Caenorhabditis elegans: one gene and its partner. The protein of the gene in region 1 purifies or fractionates together with the protein of each later gene. This does not show direct contact. Each region holds a gene or a part of one and is shown on either strand. Other genes may lie near its edges. The genes, in order: acp-2 and mps-1.

Region 1 (12,453 bases):
CGCCTTGCATTCTCTCTGAAGCAAACGAACAATTTTTGTATTGGTGAGGCATTCCAAGACATTTTCAGAATCGCTATTTGCACAGAACTTTCCAATATCGTATCTTGAAAATCAGGTTTAGAGAAAGCTGGGGTTTATATATTATGTCAATACCTGCATTTCTTCTGCAACTCGTCATCCATAGAATTATCGACAGCCTCGATCTTTTCTCTATAGAAGATCATCGATTTGCATTCTGGACCAAGATGCTCGAAATTCAAGCGAAGACATTCAATTGTATCTTCGAACGTGTCGGCTTGATTACATTTATACATCTTAATTTCCTGTTCGCATTTTTGAGACAATTTGGGATCTGCATCAGCCATGTGTTCCTTGTCATCAAACTAAAAAAGAAGAGTTAGTGATGTTTTATTTCTGGACAAAATTGGTAATGCCGCGTTCAAAATGAGAAAAAAACCCAAAATTTTTCAAAAAACATTTATCTGAAAACTAAAAAAAGGGATTTTCTGCGTTTTGGACGCGGTATAAAAGTTAAATTTTTTACAAAATTCTCTAAAACGCATGCCAAGCGCCATAAAAATGATACGAACAAAACAGTGGAATCAGCAATCAACAAAACCAAACGAGGGACAAATTGCTAGTGAAGCCGAATTGGATTGAATTTTTAAAGTGAAAAATGTGATAGTGACTCAATAAGTAAATTTTTTAACATATGAAATTTCATGCAATAATTCAACAAATTTTCAATCCAATTCTCATGCATAAAGAACCTGACGGAACGACACCGAACAAAACTTACTTCTACCTGTTCTTGTTGAAGATAAGCCACTTTGAGTTGTTTCTTGCAGTCGTCTGTCAAATCCTTTGGCGATCCCAAAACCTTGTGCTCGAATCGGACTTCCGAAAGACAGCGAATGATTTCTCCTCTGAAAAATGTAAAATAGTTTCTCCTTGTTTTTTAATTTACTGTAACTCACTTATCGTTATTATGACCTTTGCAACTTTGTTCGATATCACTAGCACAAGCCTTTTGGAACTTATAACTGAAATGATAATCCCTCAATGAAATAAGCTCGAAATGATTGACATAGGATCGGCATTTGTTATTCATTTCTTTAGCATCCTTATTGTTCACTAGGCACTCCAATACATCTCCGTGATCAATTTCTTCATTAGCAAATTGCGCACAATGAGTGGAAATAACTGGCTTGCAGGCCTTGCTCAAAGCTCTATTCAATTTAGTGTCCTTTGCTTCCATTTCTGTGAATTTTGTTAGTTCGGCGAAACATTGCGGATGTTTTCGTTTAAAGTTGTCAGTTTCAAAGTTTTGTTGGAGACACATCATTTCTTCCGATGGTTTGACGTTATGGGAACAGAATTCTGAGAGCGCTTCACGACATGAATCCTCAATTTCCGGAATTAAATTGACACGGACGGCGCGAACATGAAGGAGTTGTCGAACTTGGGTTCCACACTTTACTGAAAGTGGATTTTGTTCGTCATATGCACTTCTGTAGAGACAGGCGAGCACTTGCGGTCCACGATCGACAGTATTATCAGAATTATGTTGTTGGTGCCAGTTATCGAGGGCGGAACATCTGAAATTTTAAGTTTTTTTAAATCAAGCTATTATTAAATGAACGTACCTGCTCACGGCTTCTTGATGACAAGCTTCATATAATTGTGGATCCATTGTCCAATCTCTAGCCATGAAATATTGAACTTCGAGCAGACGTTTTTCACATTCAGGAACCATATCAGGACTATCCACATTTCTCATGAGGCATGTTAAAGTAGCAGTTTCTGAAACTGCGTCTTGGGCACAAGGACCATCAATAAGACTTCTGCACGATCCATACAGAACTTTGTCGACTTTATAGTTTCTTCCGATATCTGCAACTTTAACGACTTGTTGAACAGCTTGAAGACATTGAGCTCCCAGTTTTAATGTTTCATTTCTGGATTCAGCATGCTCCATCAAACAGTGCAATGTTCTTCCTTCGGCCTCGATATCTCCACGTGGACTACACCATTTATCAATTTCTTGTGCACAGTTGAGTACAAGCTCTGGAGCCATTCGGAAGTGCTGCATCATCATTTGACGATGAGTAATCATTTCATGAGCACATTCTTTTGATGGTTGAACTTCCTTGTGTTCTGGTTGATTTGCTCCATTTTCAAGACACAAAAGGATCCATGCCAGATGGAAATGAGCGGCTGATTCAATTTGGTTCTGTGGTTCACACTTGTATCTGGTCAATTCTGGTTGACAAGCTTTTGTGAGTGGATGAGCCATACGGTAATCTCTTCCCATAAGATATGCTCTCTCGGCAAGCAAATTTCCACACTGAAAATTTTATTAATGTATAATTTTGAGTCGTTTTTTTTCTTTTTTCTTGAAAATATGCGATCCAGTTGTATAAATAAATGGATTACGGAATCTAAGGATTGTAATTTTTGCATTTTCAAGAATTCAATAGTCAAAAAAAACTGCACCTGTGTAAATAAACACATGAGAATTTTCGGAAAAACTAAAATATTCTGATAAAATCTCACCTCTGGATCCATGAATTTATCATTTCTATTCATCATGAGACATTCGAAAACCTTTCCTTCGCCAGATGGAACATCTTTACAGTATCTCTGAAAAAATGTTTTGCTCATTTATAAAATTCAAACTCCTAAAAACTTACCTCTCTGTCTAATCTGCAAGCAAAGAAGAGCGGTCTGTCTAAATGGAAATCATCAGCCTGCATCTCTGCAAGTCGGAGAACTTCATGTTTACAATCATCTCCAAGTATTTGCAATGCATCTGCTTGAGTCTTTGCATTTTTCACAACTTTATCCAAAATACATTCCAAAGCCATTCCTTGCGTATGTGCGACACGAACACCTTTGTGTGCTGGATCAGGAGTAAGGACGTTGCATTTGAATTTATCGAGAATAGCACGGCATTTTGTTACGAATGGACCAACGAGACGGAAATCCGAGAAAGCTAGTCTCTCTGTTCTGGCTTCAAAACGAAGAGAAATTTAAATGTATTTTGATGAAATTTTGTGTTTTTAAAATTACAATACTCACCTAAAAATGCGTGGCATTTTCCAGTCTCAGTAACATTTTTTGTGAATTCCATGAGACAACTGAGAGCAAATCCAGGTTGAGTTTGAGATGTACAAAGATTCATTGCAGCATTTCCCTTCAACTCTTCCTCGCAATATTGTTTGGCCGCGGATACGAAACGCTCGTCTTGTGTTATTTTGACCTTGAAATCCCAGACAAGTTGCTCACACTGTTCGGATAGAGTCGCTGTCTCAGAAAATCCGGCATCTTGAAGGCATTCAAGAATCGACATGTCGCTTGTTAGATCTACATCAGGCTGAAATATTTTATTTGCCTATCAATAGCTTTAATGTCAAACTCACTCGGCTACAATGTTTATGAATATCTGCTTTGCATGCATCGAAACTGGCCAACTTCTTATCTGGATCGTTCGCTACGTTTTGTTGTTGAGCTGAAATTTGAATTTATTTTGAATCAATTGAATATTCCTGACATACCTGTTGTCAGCCAACAAACCGACGCGAGTATCAGTGGAAACCTCCACATATTTCAGGTTCAGGACCCTGAAAATAAATTTTCAACGTGTGCAAATAGAAAAACATTCTGAAAGTGACGTCATTTGAGAAAAATGTCGAATTTTAATTGAAACGACAACAATTAGGTATATAAAAATGTGGTGAAAAGTGGACAAGTGTGCACACAGAAACCCTCTTTTTTGTCGGAAAATATAGAAGATAGAGAAAAAGACTTGAAAAAATAGAAAACGGATCCTGGAAAACAAATAGAAATCCGTTGGAACCTGGGCACGGAAACTTGCGGACCAGTGGTGTTTGCACACAATGCGCACTAAACAACGCGCAAACTATTGTCAGAAAACCTGACACGTCATCTTATTTAATGAAAATACTATGCCTCTGTAATTAAATATTATTTTTTGAGAATTCAACTAACTTTGCCTGAACTTGAAAACTGAGAACAAAAAAATTTCGTAATTTTTGCGTCAAAACTACAGTACCCGGTCTCGGCACGACAGTTTTTGTTAAATGCAAAAGGGCATGCCCCTTTAAACAGTACTGTAGTTTCGAATGTGTGTTTTTGCGGACTTTTATTGATTGATTTGAATACCGTATTCTTAGCACAAAATTTCGCATTTGGGGAATAATAATTAAACTTTTCAAAATAAATAATGTCCATTTTTGATGCTAATTCTCACAAATTTAGGTAGGAAAAAATACGCTAGAAAAACTAATGATTTGCCGAGAAATTACAACCGGGCCACGTGGCTATATTGTTAAAAACAAAACGCCCTCCGTCCACCCGAAACAATATTTTTGAGATAATATTATCGAACAGAACAGGCCGATCGGTAAACTAGGCATAAAAGGAGAGAGGACGAGAAATAGAAGAGAACAATGCGCTCAGGAAGGTGAAGAGACTTGTTTTGTCTTCTGCAGTCCGACAGAGAAAACTTACGGCATCAAGAGAAGGAGGATCTCGACGAATAGACCGATGCCCATTCGTCGTATAGTCGGTTAAGTGGAGATGACGAATTAATCGGACGAAAAAAAAAACGAAGAGAAACTTTTTTGGTTGTTAGGCTACGGAAGTTCAATATGCAAAGCTAGGTCCTTTTTCCATCGAAACCACAATTTATACTTGAGTATTTCACGCGGAACCTTCATTTAAATGGAATATAAATATCAATCGATTCACTTCATTCGCATGTATTTACAGAAAGAAACAGTATCAACTAATTGATTATTCTGGACCAGAGAATTCCGATACATGAAGATCTCTTCTAATATTATTAGGTGGAGAGCTTCTCGTGGTTCGAATCTTTAAATCAGATGCTTCACAACTCTCAGCTTCACCTTTGTTTCGATAATCATCGCAGCAGTCGAGGAAATCCTGAAATACATTTTTAATGTATGAATGAGAAAACAAAAGTTCAAAACAAACCTGTGCCAAACATCGTTCTCTTTTACAGTTTCTCACAAATTTGGTGACATCTATTAGCTCATGATCCTCGGCAGTGATCTCTTCTTTTTTATAGAAAACTTTCACAAAATATTTTCCATTATCCTTCCACGTTTCAAATATGATCATTGAGTTGTATTCGGGATATTTGTCGAGTCCAACAGTTTGTTCCAACACATTCAATGAATCGAGCACTCCCATTAGAATCCAGTCTTGCTGAAATATTTTATTATTAGGATTAATCAGCAAATACTGATTTTGAACTTGGAAATAACTCTAGAAACTCGAAAAAAGAGACACCAATGGTGTTTTAGATTAACCATATCATCCAAAAACCGAAAAGACATCCGAAAATATAATTCGATACAGAACGCGAAGAGGGCTAGTAAGGAGGCGAGTGACAAACGCCCTCGCCACGCCTCGACCTTATCGACATATCTGAGCCATGTTGTGTATATGATATAACATACCGTAGAGTACACTGCCAACTTCTCCCTTCTGGATACTCTTCCATCACTCTTGTGTTTCTCTTCTTTATCCATGTATATCTTATTTTTAATGTCCGTTAGCAACGTGTTCATAAGATTTCCAAATTTGACCTTCATCATTCGCGGGTCATGATGATTACCAGTTCCTGTGATAAACTGGGTCACATTCACATAAATACCCATGATTTCGTTTATATGTTGAGCGATGAGTGGTGGAAGAGGAATTCCATTTTTGTACTGAAAAAATAAATAAATGAACAGCTTAGACGCTGAATGAGTTTAAAATAAACCTCATTGATATGAGCTTCAATGGTGTGAAAAGGGTATTGCTTGAAAACTGGGTGAGTATATTTAAGACAGTTGGCAATGAATTCCTCGTAAATCGTCCACTGAAGAATAATCATTTTTGAAATGTTTGACTTTTAATAAAACTTTATTCAAATCCAATACCAATCTGAAAAGCTCTATATATCTTACCGGATGAAAACTTCCACCAAAATCTGGGCATTTCTCTTTGATCAGCTCTAACTCTCGGGGACAGTTAGCTTGGTCGTAGTTTAGTAGCTGAAATAAAAGGATAGATTAATCAGTTATTTTTATTTTCAATTTCTAAATACATTTTCTCCGATCTCCTCTGTAAGAACAGGAACATATAAATGCCTAGATGGATCTTCGAACATAGCCGCACCAACGGTTGACGCTGAGCTTAGACATCGATTTTTGTTTACGGATCTCCAATACATCTGAAATTTTGAAAAATATAATAAAATTTCTGAAAAATAACGATACCTGACGTGGCTTCAAATTTCCATCAACAAATTTCGAGTCTACATATCGAGTTTTTAAGAATCGTCCCAATCGAAATGAATTTTCGAAGCCTCTCTGAAATTACTATTTTCAAACTTAAATTAATAAAATAACAGTCTTACATCAGTCAATTCTCCTAGACCTCTTGGAAAGTTTGCAAGATAAGCAGGATCGCTGAGACTATTTGATGGGGCACGGGCTCCATGACGAAATAGCTAAGAATATTTATGTATGTAAAAGACGGATGACATTATCTTACCACTTGTGTGTAAATCCGTTTGGGGTTTTCAGAAAGTGCGATGGCGAATTGAACAATCAAACAAATGAACAAAAACCATGAAATCTTCATCTTTTGATTTCTCACTTCTGTAATATTAGAGATATAAAATAAAAATACATGAAAATTGTTTACCAACAAGCTTGAAGTTGAAAAATTACAAGAAATTGAAACATGAGATTGAAAAGCTGTGTTTCACGAGTAAAAAAAAACAAATAAATCAAATAAATCACCTTTCTGAAGCACGCGGAGGTCGCAGAGGTGGAAGTTTTTCTTAGATTTTCCAGTTTATTTATTTATTTAATAATAATTTCTCATAAAAGTACTTTCATGCAAGTGCCTGCCTGCCTTGCTTACGTGGCTTCTGCCAAAAGTACTCAGAAACAACTTCAACTTTGAACGGACTAAATAAATGAAAAACCAAAGTATCCAAAAAATCAGAATTAGAAGAAGATGAAGATATAGTGCAGAGATATCCAGGAACAAGAAAATTGCTGGTTATCTACCCTTATCTTTCATTTTCTTGCTACTATCTTATCTTTTGTTATAATTCCTACTGCACAAAGAATAAATAAAAAGTTCAACGTTCTGTTGAGAACATGCTAAGGATGTGTAAATGTTCAAGAATATCTTATATGAAGGTTGTATATGGGATATTCAAATCCAAAATGAAATGCCAACTGACCAAAATAAGGAATATGATTAAAAATGATTTCAAGAAAGCGCTGAGTCAATTCTGAAGAAACAATACATATTTTATTCCTTTTGTCAGCCAAAACGTATCATTCTCTTTTTTTCGAACAATTTGTTTAAAATGCATGAGTTTGCAAAGGCGCCAGTAAGTTTTGAAAATAGAGAAGACGAATTACAAATTAAAATATTATTTATAAAAAGTTCAACAATTATTTTCAAGTTCTTCCAGTGTTGCTCGGGTATTATCACAGCATTTATTCAAATTCTGAAAGATAAAATATCCTAAAAGTAATTTTTATGATTAGAACCCACCCTCAGAGAACATTTTTTCCCTGGGCATCCTGGAATGATACCAGTCAAATCTTGTAGAATATGGTCTTCCAGAGTAACCTCTTCCGGTTTATAGTAAAACTTCACGAATGGCTTTTCATTCTCACTCCATAGCTCCATTAGAATCATTGCATTGTAGTTTGGTTCTTCTTTAGGACCAACTGTTTGGATATGATTTAACCAGCCGTGGACCGCACCTACGGCGCGGCCCCCGACTTTTTTGAGAAAACACATTAGATAAACGGTGTCTATCGCGGACCTCGATCGATGTCTGCTGCGCATTTAGCATAAGGTTTCCCAAAATTTCGTTGCTCTGATCAGAGATCAAACTACATAGGGACAGAAGGACACGCGCTTTATATATAGTAAATGATACACCGAAAGCATCTAAAACACCTCCCAGCACCCAATCTTGCTGAAACGACAGATTTTTGGAAGAACAAGCTAACTCACAGTTGAATAAACTTTGAATTTTAAACTTTCTTTATTCGCAAGATTGTTTGTCCAAGCAGTTCTGAAATTAAATGAAATACGAATGATCTCTTGGTATCTAAAAAAATTTCGGAACGAGGAAACTCACACATCCGCCCTCCCGGCCGGATTCCCCGAAAATTCCTCTAAAAACTAACTTTAAATTCTCCAACAGTGTATCAATAAGCACGCCGAACCGAAACTTAATAATTACTGGTTTCCCAATGCCGTTTTTTAAATTTCGATATTTCATATATTCTTCAGATATGACTTCGATGTTTTCACAAATGAAATCCGGCACGGGAACATTGTTCTTATACTGAAAAAGATTGAATCATCAGATTAAAAATGAAGGAAGAGTTACGTCATTGATGTACTTGTCAGAATCATCGATACTGATTTTCTGGAAAATTGGATGATTTGAACCAGCACACTCATACATTATTGCACTTTCGTCCTAAAAATTATCTTCCCGAAGTTTTTCAAAATTGGAAAGATATACACGATGATTGTCAGCTTCTAGGTTTGGACAAGCTTTTTCCATTGCACTCTCAAAGATGTCACAAGAATGAACTGGAGTATTCAACAATTTATCTTGATTTGCATGGTTTGTCGTAATAGGCACAGTCAGCCATTTTCGTTCTTCCGTCTTAAACATGCCTGCAGCAACAGCAGATGCAGTTGCTAAGCATCTTTCTACAGCACGGAATCTCCATTCCATCTGATAAAGTTATGTAACTGGTAGTAAATTTGATGAACTATTTACCTCACTAGGTTTCATAAAATCACTCAAAAATCCCGTGCCGACATATCGTTTCTTGAGAAATCTTCCTAACATAAATGAGTGATTGTATCCTCGCTGAAAATAATTGCAAATGTGGAGAGCCTTAAATATTATTAGTTAAAGGCAATTAGAAGTTTACACTTTGGGTGTATCCTTTTGAGGAGTTTAGGTGATCTATCGGAGTCTGAATAAGCTAACACGATCAAGAGTAGAAAACATGTCCGAAAATCTGACATTAGGTGTTGGCTACTAGTGATGGACTCTATGAAAGTGTATGACAAAATATTGTTGCTCGATTTGTTTATCAATATTCAGTTAAATGTTCAAAAACTATATTTAAAATTCTAGCTGTACAGGCTTACATCAGTTAACTGTCCTCTGCCTCTCGGATAATACGTGTTGTTCGCGTTTTTGCTGGGAGCTCGTGAGCCATGCCGAAAGATCTGAAATTGTATGAAGGTAGGATTGCAAATATAACAGTTCAGAATAATGAAAAGATTGATTGATAAAATTTGAACGTACGGTATGTGCAAAAATCAACCTCCTTATCGGGTTAGTTTGCGTGACTGGATAAGGAGTTGAAGAAGTGTGGACATGCACTTTTGTAGATTTTTCATGAGTTTTTGTTGAAGAAATAAATGGATCTTTTGTTGTAGAATTTGCAAGATGAGCTTGAGGATTTATGTCGGAAGGTTCAGAGTAATCATAAAATAGAAGAAAAAGTGCAATTGCAATGACAAACGCAGACAAAAGTATAAACATACTGAAAGTTAACTTTTTTTTTTCAGATTTTCAACGTCTATAACTTACATCATATATCTAAATCTTTTTCCAGGAATATGTTTTCCACTTTGTTTTGCCGATTTGACATCCATTTTTGTTTGTGGAATTGAAACATCAATGGGACTGCAAGCCTTTTTAGCACTCATTTTTAATTTGAGAAAACAGATTAAATAAACATGAAAGCCAACTAGATAGGATAAAATAGTAAATAATGATTGAGTTGTCTCATTCAAAGGATGAAAAAGAGACGTCAGTTGAAAAAATTCAATTAGTTTATTGCAAAGGTCATTCTGAAACACATTTTTATATAGATATTTTATTTCAATTATTTGGTATCGCCTCTTCCTTATATTCGCCTCTTCCTTATATTCTTCGCGACTTCCACTTCCATACGCCCAAAAAGTGGTGCGTGAGGTGCTAGGCTCTTATTTTGAATTTTAGTTTATAATGAAATATTTATTTTGGGATCTCGAGTTCAACAGGTTCCAATAGTTTTCAAATCCGTGAATCACATAGCTCTTGAAGATCTTCCAGCTCTCCACGTGTATCGTTGCAACAGCTTTTAAATTTCTGAATATCGTTTCAGAATTTCGATGTTTGAAATAATTAGTATTACCTTCAATGCGCACTCTTTTCCAGAACATCCTGGGATGATATCCGTCAAATCTTGCAGAACATGATTTTCAAGAGTAATCTCCTCCGGTTTATAGTAGAACTTTACAATCGGTTTTCCATTTTTCTTCCACAATTCCATAATAATCATTGTATTATAGTTTGGTTCTTCTTTGGATTTTGATTGAATATGATCAAGAACACCAAATGCATCTAGAACTCCTCCCAATAACCAGTCTTGCTGAAAATACACTGAACTATAAAGAAAGACACAACAGACAATGATTACCGATGAATAAACTTTAAACTTCAAACTTTTTATACGAGCTAGATGGTGTTTCCAGGCATTTCTAAATATAAGTAGTTTGTTTTTCAAATAACATCAGATTAGGTTTTAAAACTTGCACTAAGTTTTCCAACAGTGTATGCACAAGGAATCCAAATCTTGCTTTAATCATTTTGCGATTCCCGATTCCGTTTTGAAAATTTCGAACTTTCAGATATTCTTCGGAAATTGTTTTGAAATTATCACGAACAAATTCCGGCACCGGAACATGGTTCCTGTACTAAAATCATAGCATATTAACTCAACTATGATCATTTGGGCATTTTACCTCATTAATATATCTGTCACAGTCATCTATTTTTATTTCTTGAAATATTGAATGATTCCCTCCCATACATTCGTACAATACGGCGTACATTTCCTAAAGTTTTTATTTTGTCAATTAAATAAAAAGCCAACTTACATCTCTGTTCACTTTTTCAGTTTTCGGACATTGTTTTATTCTAGAATTTCTTGTGAAGTTACATCCTCGAATGGGGAGATTTAATAGTACATCGTTTATACCAAGATTTGTTACTATGGGAACAGTCAACCAAATCTGGTTTTCTGTTTTGAACATTCCAGCGGCAACGGTAGAAGCTGTACTCAAGCAACGATTTATGTCACGTGATCTCCATTCCATCTAAAAAACAAATAATTTTATTTTGAAAATAATCGGAGAGAACCTCATTCGGCTTCACGAAAGAACTCAAAAATCCAGTGTCAACATATCGTTTTTTAAGAAATCTACCCATCATGAACGAGTGATTGTATCCTTGCTTAAATTACTTTAAAATTGCAAAACTTTACGATTCTTAACTATTATATTACGTCTGTCAGTTGTCCATAATCTCGCGGAAAGAACTTCGTGTCCGTTTGTTTTTCATTTCCTGGCGCTCTGGCTCCATGTCGGAAAATCTGAAAAGCTTTCATTGGAAGCTTATGCATTTGATAAATGTAGATATGCATAGATGAAAGATTATTCACTCACAACTTGAGTAAACAAAAGGGAGCCGTCCTGAACCATCTGAGCAGTTGTTGGCGTTGAGCCTGGAGATGAGAAAAAGTAATAGAAAATGAAAAAACCAATAATGGTGGCGACAACTGCTGATACAAGCCCGACGATTCTGAAATTGATCCAATTTTCAGGTTACACTTTATAAAAAATACTGTAACTCACATGAACAACTTTTTCTTCCGATTGCCACTCGGATTTGTGTCCTGCTTTTCAGTTTCAGGATCAGGCATCTGCAGTTGTGCCGTTGAATGGTCATTTAAACTGGTATCAATGCTCATTTTTCATTTGAGAATTAATGGAGAAGCCAAGAATTCTAAGAAATCAGAGAATAAATTGAAAATCACGGCTAGGGTTTGTTTCGCAGAAAGAAGTAGGGCAACACGAGTAGATTGAATATTTTTTGCGCTGCTATAAGCCTTCAGTCCTCCCACCGATCGTAGAATCTCTGATACAAATTGAACTATTTTCTATGTTGTTCGTCGCAACAAGTAGAGAATACTGTGGAAGACTAATTTATTAAGAAAGTAAAATCAGGAATAAAATAAATCATCAAAAGTTCAGTTCTCTTTTTACACGTCTTGGCTAGGGATGGATGAAGATTTCAGACAACTTGTGTTGCAAAGCCATACTGCAGACCCCCGCCAAGGGCACTATCTGGTATCATAACTTGTAGAGAACTGATCGGCTTGAATCGTTCGGAACCTTCGAGAATATGCAATGGAAAACCCGGAGGAGGAGCAGCATTCACATTGACATCGGAATACCAGAGAATGGTGCCATTATTTAGTCCCAAAGTTCAATAATGTTGAAGCTATTATCCGAAATGAA
Region 2 (12,440 bases), 2.1 Mb from region 1:
GTGCTGGAAATTTTGATTGAATGCGATTAATAAACTGAAATAGTACTCACGGTATGCGAGGAATCTGAAGAAATTGTGGAATTGCCATCGATAAGTGTGTTTGGAGGAGGTGAACTCCCAGCCGATCCAGGAACCAAAATTTATTTCAGTTTTGTCATCAATCTAGTTGAACTTTTAGGCACAGGCGCAATGCTTGTGGGCGGAAGCTTCAAAGAAATTAATTTTTTCCAAAATTTCAAAGCCCCGGTATTTTTTGATTAGGACTTGGCAAATCCCAAGGTCTTGTGGGCAAAACTGTCAAGCCACGCCTTGCCACATTCACGTCACTACGATACTCAAATATTTAGCGAGAAATTCAAAAACTAGTTAACCAACAAATGGCGCAAGCAATGGAGGTGTCATATATCGAAAACATTTCAGCTTACCTCGTGCCTTGACTGAGTCCAAAAGTTCGAGGAGTTGCAAATTGGAATCGAGGCTCCGCGTCATTTTGATGGGCTCTTGGAGTAGCCGGGGCATGTTGACCATCATTCGCCATATTCTGAAAAAAGAAACAAGCTGTCAGGAATAGGAAAAGTTTAAATAATCTCCCGACATCATTTTAATATTACTCACCTGAACAATAATTTTGTAGGGCTTCCAGTTCCCGTTCGTATCTTTGATCATTATGTCCAAATCCATGATATCACATTCCATGGTTGTTGTATTAATCAAAAATGATTTATAAATCAATATTGGTTTCATAATTCCACTTGGGCAAGTTTACAGCGTGGCAGCACGGTAACCTAGGAATAAAAAACTGTTAAAAGTTTTCTTTCATCTTTTCTCTGCGTCTCATTTTTCAACATTATCTCGTTTTCTTTTGAGAAATAAATACATAATTAATTTGACTGAAGATGAGAAACCATCTGAAAAGTGCAGTTATATATATATATATATATATTTATTTATTTACCAGCCGTGGACCGCTCTTTCGGCGCGGCCCCCGACTTCTGGGGCAGAAAACGATTTTTTTTTCTGAAACTACCGTAATCTCACAGTACTTCTACCGTACTACTATTGTACCACTATAGTACCCCGACTATATCCCTACACTACTAACCCCAACTCACTATCCCTCCAGAAGCGGAAACTTCACAGACTACAACGACTACATATATAATTTCACAAATACCATATACCGTATATTCTCTATTAGTGCTGCATCTCCAGTAGTACTGCAGACTCTATTAGTGCTGCACCCCATTTTCTACTGAAAAAGTCACTCAATAGTTTTGACATTTCGGGGAGTGTTTTTGTATATTTTTGAAGATTTCTAGTTAATTTACAAACATAATTGAATTATTGGGTAATTTTTGTTACAAAATTTCACAGGTTTAATGGATTTCTGCTTAAAAGATGAAAGAAAACTTTTCACAGTTTTTTATTCCTAGGTTACCGTGCTGCCACGCTGTAAACTTGCCCAAGTGGAATTATGAAACCAATATTGATTTATAAATCATTTTTGATTAATACAACAACCATGGAATGTGATATCATGGATTTGGACATAATGATCAAAGATACGAACGGGAACTGGAAGCCCTACAAAATTATTGTTCAGGTGAGTAATATTAAAATGATGTCGGGAGATTATTTAAACTTTTCCTATTCCTGACAGCTTGTTTCTTTTTTCAGAATATGGCGAATGATGGTCAACATGCCCCGGCTACTCCAAGAGCCCATCAAAATGACGCGGAGCCTCGATTCCAATTTGCAACTCCTCGAACTTTTGGACTCAGTCCAAGGCACGAGGTAAGCTGAAATGTTTTCGATATATGACACCTCCATTGCTTGCGCCATTTGTTGGTTAACTAGTTTTTGAATTTCTCGCTAAATATTTGAGTATCGTAGTGACGTGAACGTGGCAAGGCGTGGCTTGACAGTTTTGCCCACAAGGCCTTGGGATTTGCCAAGTCCTAATCAAAAAATACCGGGGCTTTGAAATTTTGGAAAAAATTAATTTCTTTGAAGCTTCCGCCCACAAGCATTGCGCCTGTGCCTAAAAGTTCAACTAGATTGATGACAAAACTGAAATAAATTTTGGTTCCTGGATCGGCTGGGAGTTCACCTCCTCCAAACACACTTATCGATGGCAATTCCACAATTTCTTCAGATTCCTCGCATTTGAGCAGCCACATTCGGCGATTGCTCTCTTTCTTCGCTTCGTTCAACTTATGTTCTTCAATTTTCTTATCAATGTTCTGCTTTATGGATTTATTCAGTTCTTAGCGAGAGGATCACGGATCTGGGAAAAGAGTGGAGAGCGGTTAGTTTTCATACCTGGAACTTTGGGTACTCTCCGATCAAAATGTTTTCCAGGTGCTTCGTCGACTGCTCAATCGAAGGTACCCAAAAATGCTATGGCTGGTTTCGATGGAGTAGTTTTGTACTTTTGGTTAAAGAAAGATGGATAACTCTTCTGTAGAATAACAGAAAATCGAATATTCGGAGAAACAGCCTGCACTTGAGCAGAAATGAGTTTTACTCATAAGTGGCATGGTCAGTGGCATGTTCAGATGAAACGTAAGTTTGAAAGTTACTTTTCAGAACTTTTTGCAATAATTTCAATAAGAACAAAGACAAGAGCTAAGTTAATTTATTTTGTCTTTTGAAATTTGAAAAAATTTTGAATACAAAAACAAAAATTAACTGAGTTCGCAATTCGTCTTTATTTTTAGAAATTAAACAATTCAATTTTGAATAAATAAACTGCGAGAAAAAACCATTTTACGTATAAAATAATTGTTTAAAAAGTGCAACAATTCCTAAACAATACCATTTTCAGAGTGGAACAATATGGATGAGGTGTGGATAGACGTTGTCGAGCAACGAGCACGTGCATTGGATGAAGCTGATACAATTGGATGGTATGCAGAGGACACGAGCAAGTCGAGGATGGACAAAGTCCAATAAAGGTAGTTTGAAATAAAAATATATTCTCTTTATAAAATAGAGACACTAATAAAAATTTTAAATTTTTATTTGTCTCTATTTTGAAAATGTATTTTCTTTATAAAATAGAGACACCAATAAAAATTAAATTTTTATTCGTCTCTATTGTGAAAATGTATTTTCTTTATAAAATAGAGACACTAATAAAAATTTTAAATTTTTATTCGTCTCTATTTTGAAAATGTATTTTTTTCATAAATTAGAGACACTAATAAAAATTTTAAATTTTTATTCGTCTCTATTTTGAAAATGTATTTTCTTTATAAAATAGAGACACCAATAAAAATTAAATTTTTATTCGTCTCTATTGTGAAAATGTATTTTCTTTATAAAATAGAGACACTAATAAAAATTTTAAATTTTTATTCGTCTCTATTTTGAAAATATATTTTCTTGATGAAATAGAGACACTAATAAAAATTAAATTTTTATTCGTCTCTATTTTGAAAATATATTTGCTTGATAAAATAGAGACACCAATAAAATTTTTAAAATTTTATTCGTCTCTATTTTGAAAATGTATTTTTTTCATAAATTAGAATTAGTCAGTGGGATGGTCAGTGGCATGGTCAGTGGGATGGTCAGTGGGATGGTCAGTGGGATGGTCAGTGGCAGAGCGGTTAGTTTATATAACTGGAACTTTGGGTACTCTCCGATCAAAATGTTTTCCAGGTGCTTCGTCGAATGTGGCTGCTCAATCGAAGGTACCCAAAAATGCTATGGCTGGTTTCGATGGAGTAATTTTGTACTTTTGGTCAAAGAAAGATGGAAAACGTTTCTGTAGAATCTCAACAGAGTGTTGATCAAAAAATCGGAGAAACTGCCTACACTTGAGCAGAACTGAGTTTGACACATAACCGATATACTTTTGGAAATGCAGCTTGTTGTTTACGGAAATGTCAAAGTCTTTAACTGAGTCGTTTTTGGTAATGTATGTTCAGATTAAATTTCAGGCGAGATGTACTCGCCGTCGGTTAATGACTTAAAAGGAAATGTTTTATGATAATAATTGGAATTATTGAGACTGGATGGGAGTTCTGTTTTATAGAGAAATGTAATTTGAAATTGGTGCTTCGTAACATCACTAATATCAGTTTCTGTCGAATATGAAATTTTTTTTTATTTTTTTTTTCGAAATAAATATGAATGCACCGTCTGTTTTTAACAATTTCTACCATATTCAATCTGCTACAAATACTCTCTATGTCTGTTTCAACGTCATCTGACTTTGCTTTGCTTTTTGGTCGTTCATAACAGTTGTTGAGAGTGTGAGTGTAAGAAGCGATGACCCAAACAGTTTCTCAATAATTTTCCATCTATCCAACAGGGATTCAACACGTTAACCTGAAACATTGTATTCATTTTAAATCGGGCATTGGTCTAGTTTGAATTTGAAGTGTTAAACATCAACTTTGAACAGTTAGATAGTGACTCTAGAGCAACGAGCGCCCGATACGAAACATTATCAAAGAAACGTATATTTCAGAACTAGAAACATAGCAAATTCATGCTTTACCAACTGCTTAATTCGCTTTCCTTCCTTTCAATTTTTCGCACATTCGCGTGCCTGTCAACTGCCTGATAGGCTTTCTGCCTTCTTTCTATAACCCCCATCATGCCACACACGCATTTTGTGTGGCATGATGGGGGCTATAGAAAGATCCGAAAAAAATGTCCAAAAACTACACAAACACCGCGGTTGAGATCACTTTTTTTCGCTTCCAATTGGGTTACAGTGAATTCTGTGGAATATATCAAGATATTGAAAACCAAATTGCCATTTTAAGTTTTAAAAATTTAAAATGGATACATTGTCAACTTAAGCATAAAGGATCGTTGGCTGGCAAGGAAGAAAAATCACAAAATTTGGGGGAGCTTACTTTTTTGACTTTATAAATTTTCACCAAATGTCACTTCCGTCACCGGTAACCAATCACAAAAAAATTTTCATGAAATGTTTTTTAGAAACAAGGATACTTTTATTATATAATAATGAAAATAAATCATTGGATAAATCTCATTTAAAAATCTCAATTAAGCTAAATTGAGCCTACTTGCGCGCCACGGTCGACTGGGTTTTTGAGTTTCTTGAGGTCTGTGCGGCTGTAGGTAAATGTTAAGTTTTATATGTCATTATGTTCGATTTTTTCTATTCAATAAAATGTATATATTAACTTGTTTTGATCGCTGTCCAAGAAAAAGTTACAGTTCCGTAAAGTGGTCGCCATAATTATGGACCACCCAGTAGTTATCTGAATCAGTTGATTAGTTTCCCTTCTTTTCGAAACTTTGATAATTTCTGGTAGAGCAGAGTCAACCAAATGAACATCATATAAATACAAATATTTATTCAGTTGATAGTTTTTTGGTGTATCATTTCACTAAAAAGAGCTATGACTTGATGGGTGATTACATATGAATATATGTAAGAACAAATAGTAGAACAGTGTAGGTAATGGTTTCGAGTTTGATGTTTTTTCGTTATTCTCCAAATCAGGAAAGTGTGAATAAAGTCATTACTGGTTTGAACTGGTCTTGAACTCTTTAAGTGGCTCTTGAAGTGGATCTCGGTTCAAATTTTGACTTTGTCACACACTAGTGAAAAGTACATTAGTAAATGAGTCTCTCAGTAAAAGCCAACTTTTGGCAATTTCCGATGGCGACAGTTTTTATTTTGGTATACATCAAACACAAACACTTTAATCCCTTCTTTCTCCATACTCTATACTTCCATTCAATGTCCTCTCCGATGATAATAAAAAACATGTGAGTATGTCTGCGTCTCTTCCAGAATCTGCGCACACAAATATGTGCTGCTATGGAAATGCATGAAAATCAAGGGAGGAAAGCAGTCTTCGAGAGCAGTGGCGCCAGGGCTCGTTTGTGCACCACGTCGTCTTCTTCTCATCGATTAGTGTGTGACACCTACTACAACTCATCATATTTCTGAAAGTTCATTTGACCTAATCATTTGTTTCACTTTCTGTCTGATCGTTTTAATTGATTAGTTTTTGGCGTTATTAACTCTGACTGACAGTACTCTAATCTTTCCATGCACAAAAATATCAGTCCCACGTGCCAAGAAGGCATTCGAGAAGCATGCATCACTTTGAAAAATGCTTGTGATCCCCAGTGAGTTTTGATATTTTGTGACAATTAATCGGGGAAAAAAGACAAACAAAAAGTCAAACTTTGGTATGAAAATCTCTTAATGAAAAGTGGCAATTTTCAGAGTACTTGACAAGGCTGCAATCCGAATGAGAGAGTACGAAAATGAGTTCGGTCGAATACTTTATACAATATCAATTTTAATAATGTTCTCATTTGTCATTATTCTCCTAATGGTACGATCAATTCGGAGAACACAATCAACAGTTGAGGTACGTTTGGAATTTCACAGTAGACAATCGAACTGTATGAAATTGTATGAAATTAGAGAGGACCGTAGGTTTTTGTATGTTGTTTGAAAACAAAAACCCGGTCAAATCAGAAGTTTTGTTACAAAATTTTAATAAATGTAGAAATTTTGAAAAAATGCTAATAACTTCAGTATTAAGCTACATGAAGTTCTCTATATTTCAGATGGATTCGCTCCTTGATGCTATGCGAATTCGAGAAGAATTAGAAATACAGGAACGTAAAAGAAGACGATTGATGAGAGCAAAAACCCAGGTATATTTATGAAAATACATCGAAAAAAAATTAATTCAAAGTTGTAGGTGACTGCATGGCTCGTGAACAAAAACAAAGAGAAAGGACCAGAAAAGCGAAAAGATAGCGAATGGAAGCCACTTCCAAATGGAACAAGACCAAGAGGACATTACAGGTAATTAGCAGAATTTTTTAGAGAAGTTATAATCAGGGAAACTAAAGAATTAACAGAAATGGTTTTCTATTTGCTTTTATATAACCTTTAATGAATAATTATAATTACAGCATATCAACAGTCACATCAGACATTCCGGAGATTGTAGTAAGTGCTGACGACTGCATACATTCTGATTTTCCAAATCGTCCACATACTCCTGCAATCTCAATGATTTACGATTTTGGAATTGCGTCACCGGATTTAATAGAGCCCGATAGGTGAGAAAAGATGAAAACAGATTAGTAGCCAAATATGAGACACTACTAAAAAATGGCTTTTTGGTGGTTTTTATAATATTCTAGCGGTGAAACGTTTATGAAAAATGTCGAAAGTCTTATTTATAAATGCAAAATAACAACACAATCGTATTGAATTTGACCACACCGGCGTTCTAATAGATGAAACTTAAAAATGAAACATTTCATACAATAACAAAACATATTTCAGCAAATTCAAACGAAACCTCAAAGAATAATATATTTCAGCCGTAAGCCATCAATTTCCTCTTCAACAGCAATTCCCATGTCATCTTCGTCATCTTCATCAATGAATTCATTGATTGAACCAAATATGAATTCAATAAAATCAAATCCTCGAACATATTCGCTTGACACAAACGCCTCCACGTCATCGAGAACTCCTCGTGTTGATTGTGACGATAAATCATTTAGCTTAGACGTGTAATTTTGTTCTCATTTTTATATGCATTACTTATTTATCTTCACCATCTTCATTATTTTGTCCTGTGATCGTCAAATCGATTCGATTTTCAATCAACTTGTCGTATATTTACACTGCTTATGTACATTGGATGATGACTAACAGTAATTCTTTTTTTCTGGTTAAAATTGAAAAAAAGAGAAATGAAGTATTTTAGAAACCGATAAAGAAAATGCTTATTTCAAACCACCGACTCAAGAGGCAATATCGAGACCGCTTGTCATTGATGGATGCAACATTGGAAGAAGTGCCTCTGGATATGCTAGAACGTGGGTTGTCCAGAATATTTTCTCAATTCAATGCTTCCAATCATTACAAACTTCTGATATTGTTGAAAATTGCTTGTTTTCAGTCCACTCATTAAAATTTCGATGATTTTGAGCAAGCTCTTTTGAGCAAGCAATCTTAATGCCCCACCTTGGTTTTTGACGCCAACTTATGTCATAAGTTTGATCTAAAAACAGCAGTTTGGTTCAGAAATTGGCAAATATTTATGCAAATTGTGCCAGAAATGAATAAAAGCATGCCCTTGGTAGATGTCTGGTAGATGGTAGAGATTCCGTGGACACGTGGGAAATTAAGTCGTGGCTCTGTTCTTTTAATGAATTACAAAAAATAATACGCACAAATTTCTGTATTTTTTTCAGTCACGTGGATTGTGCTGGCCTCGTCTCCGTTGTCCGATGGCTTCTTATTCGTAGATTTGACGTAATAATTTTTTAGTTTTCTTTAATTTCCCAATTACAAATTTCAGGTGACTGTTTTCCTGCCTGTTGTTTACAACAATGTTAATAATTATAACTCGAAAAATGCGGAACTACTTGCAGTAAGATAATCTTTGTTCTCTAGGCTTTTTGGATTCTGATTTTTGATTTTCTCAGAAATTGGAGCAACTTGGTATTGTGACATTCACGCCGGCTAGAAGTGGTCGGGGACTACGAAAGTGAGTCAGAGTCGGAATGAAGTCAATGTGGGCAAGTCACGTGTTTTTCAGGGCGTTTATCAATTATGATGATTTGTATGTGGTTTCGTATGCAGCCAGACATGGAGGTACAATTGTCAGTGGAGACAAGTTCAAAGATATTCTCAATCAACCGTGTTACAGGTAACATTCCTATCATATTGTAAACTAGACTAGGACTTTTTCGGCTTTTTTAAAGCTATGCATTAAATTCAAATTTAATATTACACTGGTTTTAGTGACTTCCACCACGTCATCAGAAACCGAACAGTCGATGTAAAATTCCGACCGCTAACACTCGATTTCGTCGAATATCAATCAGATCGGTTTTATCGACATGCTCCCGAACTATTCACATGTAAGAAATTATTTCTATTTTTATAATCGAACATCATCTAGAATCTTGTTATTTTCAGATGAAAACACTAGTCAACGAACCGAATCTTTGCGTCAACGACTATTTGCGTTGCCTCATGAACCGGACTATAATCTTGTGAAAAATTCGAAACGACAAGTGACTGATGAGAGGAGAGCTTACTTGTGTGCTGAACTTGAAGCTATTCTCATTTCAATGAGTTATGCAGCCGGGAAAATGTTTCGAGATGTTGCAGAATTGCCATGTATTGATAATGTATGTGTACTTGTCCAATTGCCAAAAAATAAGGAAATATTTCAGTGTTTTCATGGATTAAGAGTGGAAGATGTTGCTCCGAAGAAATTTGCGGATGCATTCTACAGAAAATATCCGAAACGAGAAGGAAGATGTGATTTACTTCAAGAATGGGTTATGGAGCCTGTTGTAGAAGTTTCTGAGAAACAAACAAATAGCAATGAACTAAGTGATGATGTTCTTGTTCCAACTCCATTGCCTCTCCCGGAAAAGTCTAGTCAATCTGTCGTGAATGTTAATAAAGGAAAAATCGAACTTCCAAGAGATCATTCCCTTGGGTCGTTGCTTCAATGGTTCACACTGGCTGAAGAAGCAAATAAAATCAAGAAATAATAATCGAAATATTGATTTTTGATTGAGATCTGTTTCATTTTTACAAACAATTCGATAAACGTTTCGATTTTTTGCATGTTTTCTTTTTTCTATCTCTCGATTGATATCTTTGAATGACCTGACGGGTGCACGTGTTGAGACAGCTGTCGTTCTGAGAGGACAGGAGACTTTAAACTATTCAGTTAGGATCTCTTTAACATCAGATACTTTTGCTTTTTTGCTCTTTCTTGTTTTCTCGAAGATTCGCAGAAGAATCAAATTTGCTGGTCTGATACATCTTATCATTTCGGTCTTGATAAGAAGTTGAAAAAAAATTTGGTGTTCGCCGAAAAAAAGTTTCTCTTTTTCCTTGATTAAATTCTATTTTCCAATTGATAACACCACTTTCTCTTTAAATGGCATTCAAGTTCCGATAAATTTAAGGTCAAATACTGCCCAATAAATAGTGTTCATTCAATTTTAATGTGAATTCATTTTCTTATCTTGTCTTATCGCAATTTGTCCATTTTCACTAGAAACATCATATCTTTATATATTTATTTTATCTTATTCAGGTAAAAATGTCTGCAGCTCCGGCTCAATTCGATGGCGTTGAAACTGCTTTGGCTGAAAAATTGGACGGAGTTTCTTTAGATGAAGTCGAAAGAATTCTTTATGGTAGACCATACAGGTTTGTTTAAAATATAATGAAAATTCGCAAATACTTTATTTTCAGAGCACTGGAAATTTCTTCTATTGCGGAAAAACTAGCACAAGATGGTGATTTCCAACTGTCTGGATACATTGTGGACGCTCAAAAAGAACAAACAAGAGCTCCAAGACTGGTGAGCAGAAATTATAAAATTAAATTGTTTTAAATAACTTTTCTGATAACCAATTTTGTAGAAAGGAAGAATATTGTTATGGGAGATGTTCTGTCTGTTTCTCGTATTTAGCTTTTCATTCTTAATCTTTGAGCACTGCAAATATTAGGTGGAAAAAGAGAAAAAGAGAGTCCCAGTTTGTTATATATATTTGAAAATATTACCATTTTTTAAGGTTCGCGTTGCCGCTATTCAAAACAAAATCCACCGTCCAACTACAGACAGTGTCGTTGAACAACGTGATGCAATTCATCAACGTGTCGGAGCAATGATTGAAGCTGCTGCTTCCGCTGGAGCTAATGTTATTGGACTTCAAGAAGCTTGGACAATGCCATTTGCATTCTGTACTCGTGAACGTCTTCCATGGACAGAATTCGCAGAATCTGTATACACTGGACCAACTACACAATTCCTTTCTAAATTGGCCGTGAAACATGATATTGTGATTATTTCTCCAATTTTGGAAAGAGACGAAGAAAAGGATGATGTTATTTGGAATACAGCTGTTGTGATTTCTCATACTGGACGGGTTATCGGAAGATCTAGAAAGAATCATATTCCAAGAGTTGGAGATTTTAATGAATCTACATACTATATGGAGTCCACACTTGGTCATCCAGTTTTTGAAACCAAATACGGTCGTATCGGAATCAATATTTGTTACGGACGCCATCATCCACAAAATTGGATGATGTACGCTCTTAACGGTGCAGAGATCATCTTCAATCCATCAGCAACAGTTGGTGCTCTCAGGTTTGTTGATTCAATATTGAAACATTAAAAACATGGAAATTTAGTGAACCACTCTGGGGTATCGAAGCACGAAATGCTGCCATTGCCAATCACGTCTTCACAGTTGGAATTAACCGCGTGGGCACTGAAGTCTTCCCAAATGAATTTACCAGTGGAAATGGGCAACCAGCGCACAAAGACTTCGGTCACTTTTATGGATCCAGTTATATTGCTGCTCCTGATGGTAGCCGTACTCCAGTGAGTTTATTGAGGTTAAACTTCAACAATGAGTAACTGCTCAAAAATTTTTATAACTGTTTCTCTCTTTTAAAAAAAAATAGCTTGAACAAATCTGATACATATTTTTTTCAGGCATTATCTCGTGTTCGTGAGGGAGTTCTCATTGCTGAACTCGACTTAAATCTGTGTCGTCAATGCAAGGATGCTTGGGGATTCAGAATGACAAACCGTCTCGACATGTACGCTCAAAAGATTACGGAAGTTTCCAACCCGGACTATCGTCCAGACATCAGAAGAGAGCAATGAATCAGTTTTGTTGTTGACATTTCAATTTATGGATGATTTTTCTTTGTTTTCTATCACCTGATTATTATTTGAATCGTAAATAAATGTAATTCAATTTAGCTCATGATTTGAACTAATGAGGTGAATAGTAGTAGATCAGAAGAGGGAGATGACTCAACTTGTTGTACTTGATAAACTTTAAAAGAAGCAATCATGTGGAAGACTGAAGCTTTATAAACTTACTTACTAGTTAGGTGATATATACTTCAGCTCTTTTGCTTTTTAAAAGAAGTTTTCTTTAGATATTTGATAAGATATTTATTCTAGTGATAATATTTTTGCTGTCGTTACTGAGGCAACATATAGAGAAACTAGGCACCAATATTATAATCACTAGTTTCTGATAACCGCCCATCTCATGTTATTTTCCCTTCTTCTTGAGAATTTTTCCTAGTTCGCAGTAAACCAAAATTATTTTGGAATTTTCGTACTACTTTTGAATAACTATTAGATACTACTTTAAAGGTTTTGTTTTGTATTTTGAGATTTTGTATGCGGTATTGTTAATTTTTGTCCCATACCAGACTACTCTGATTGCCGTTCATCCAAGAAAAATGCGTTTATCTACAATTTTTAAGTAAAATATCAATTATTATAAGATGACTGTTTTTCATGAAAATTGAGAGAAACTCAGCAAGCGGAACGGCTTGACCAATTAAAAATACGATTTTTTATAATGAAGATGTTCGTAAGATTTTAGTGTTTAAAAACATC

The links.
Region 2: the proteins of acp-2 (region 1) and mps-1 purify together in Caenorhabditis elegans (affinity purification with western blotting, with the first as the bait; one study listed by BioGRID). This does not show direct contact.

The regions. Positions count from the first base shown.
Region 1 is NC_003280.10:8,425,233-8,437,685, forward strand, and holds acp-2 (ACid Phosphatase family), read right to left. Parts: upstream 6,699-12,453; 5' UTR 6,682-6,698; coding exon 6,592-6,681; intron 6,548-6,591; coding exon 6,455-6,547; intron 6,408-6,454; coding exon 6,315-6,407; intron 6,269-6,314; coding exon 6,143-6,268; intron 6,090-6,142; coding exon 6,003-6,089; intron 5,915-6,002; coding exon 5,816-5,914; intron 5,763-5,815; coding exon 5,508-5,762; intron 5,254-5,507; coding exon 5,020-5,253; intron 4,969-5,019; coding exon 4,819-4,968; 3' UTR 4,727-4,818; downstream 1-4,726. Other genes in the region: F14E5.2 (Golgi apparatus protein 1 homolog), read right to left, coding at 1-103, 154-383, 800-926, 978-1,598, 1,647-2,347, 2,557-2,643, 2,694-3,013, 3,082-3,376 and 2 more; acp-4 (ACid Phosphatase family), read right to left, coding at 7,758-7,793, 8,086-8,146, 8,262-8,422, 8,468-8,560, 8,606-8,824, 8,870-8,962, 9,250-9,330, 9,410-9,650 and 1 more; acp-3 (ACid Phosphatase family), read right to left, coding at 10,166-10,240, 10,287-10,523, 10,572-10,632, 10,688-10,848, 10,897-10,989, 11,032-11,250, 11,294-11,386, 11,439-11,525 and 2 more.
Region 2 is NC_003280.10:6,287,758-6,300,197, reverse strand, and holds mps-1 (MiRP K channel accessory Subunit), read left to right. Parts: upstream 1-5,836; 5' UTR 5,837-6,046; coding exon 6,047-6,126; intron 6,127-6,226; coding exon 6,227-6,374; intron 6,375-6,576; coding exon 6,577-6,666; intron 6,667-6,713; coding exon 6,714-6,820; intron 6,821-6,930; coding exon 6,931-7,080; intron 7,081-7,347; coding exon 7,348-7,546; 3' UTR 7,547-7,673; coding exon of another isoform or gene 7,674-7,686; 3' UTR 7,687-7,739; downstream 7,740-12,440. Other genes in the region: nyn-3 (RNase NYN domain-containing protein), read left to right, coding at 7,674-7,686, 7,740-7,851, 8,230-8,290, 8,337-8,408, 8,464-8,525, 8,577-8,687, 8,783-8,901, 8,960-9,174 and 1 more; upb-1 (Beta-ureidopropionase), read left to right, coding at 10,107-10,216, 10,262-10,370, 10,585-11,162, 11,207-11,399, 11,514-11,687.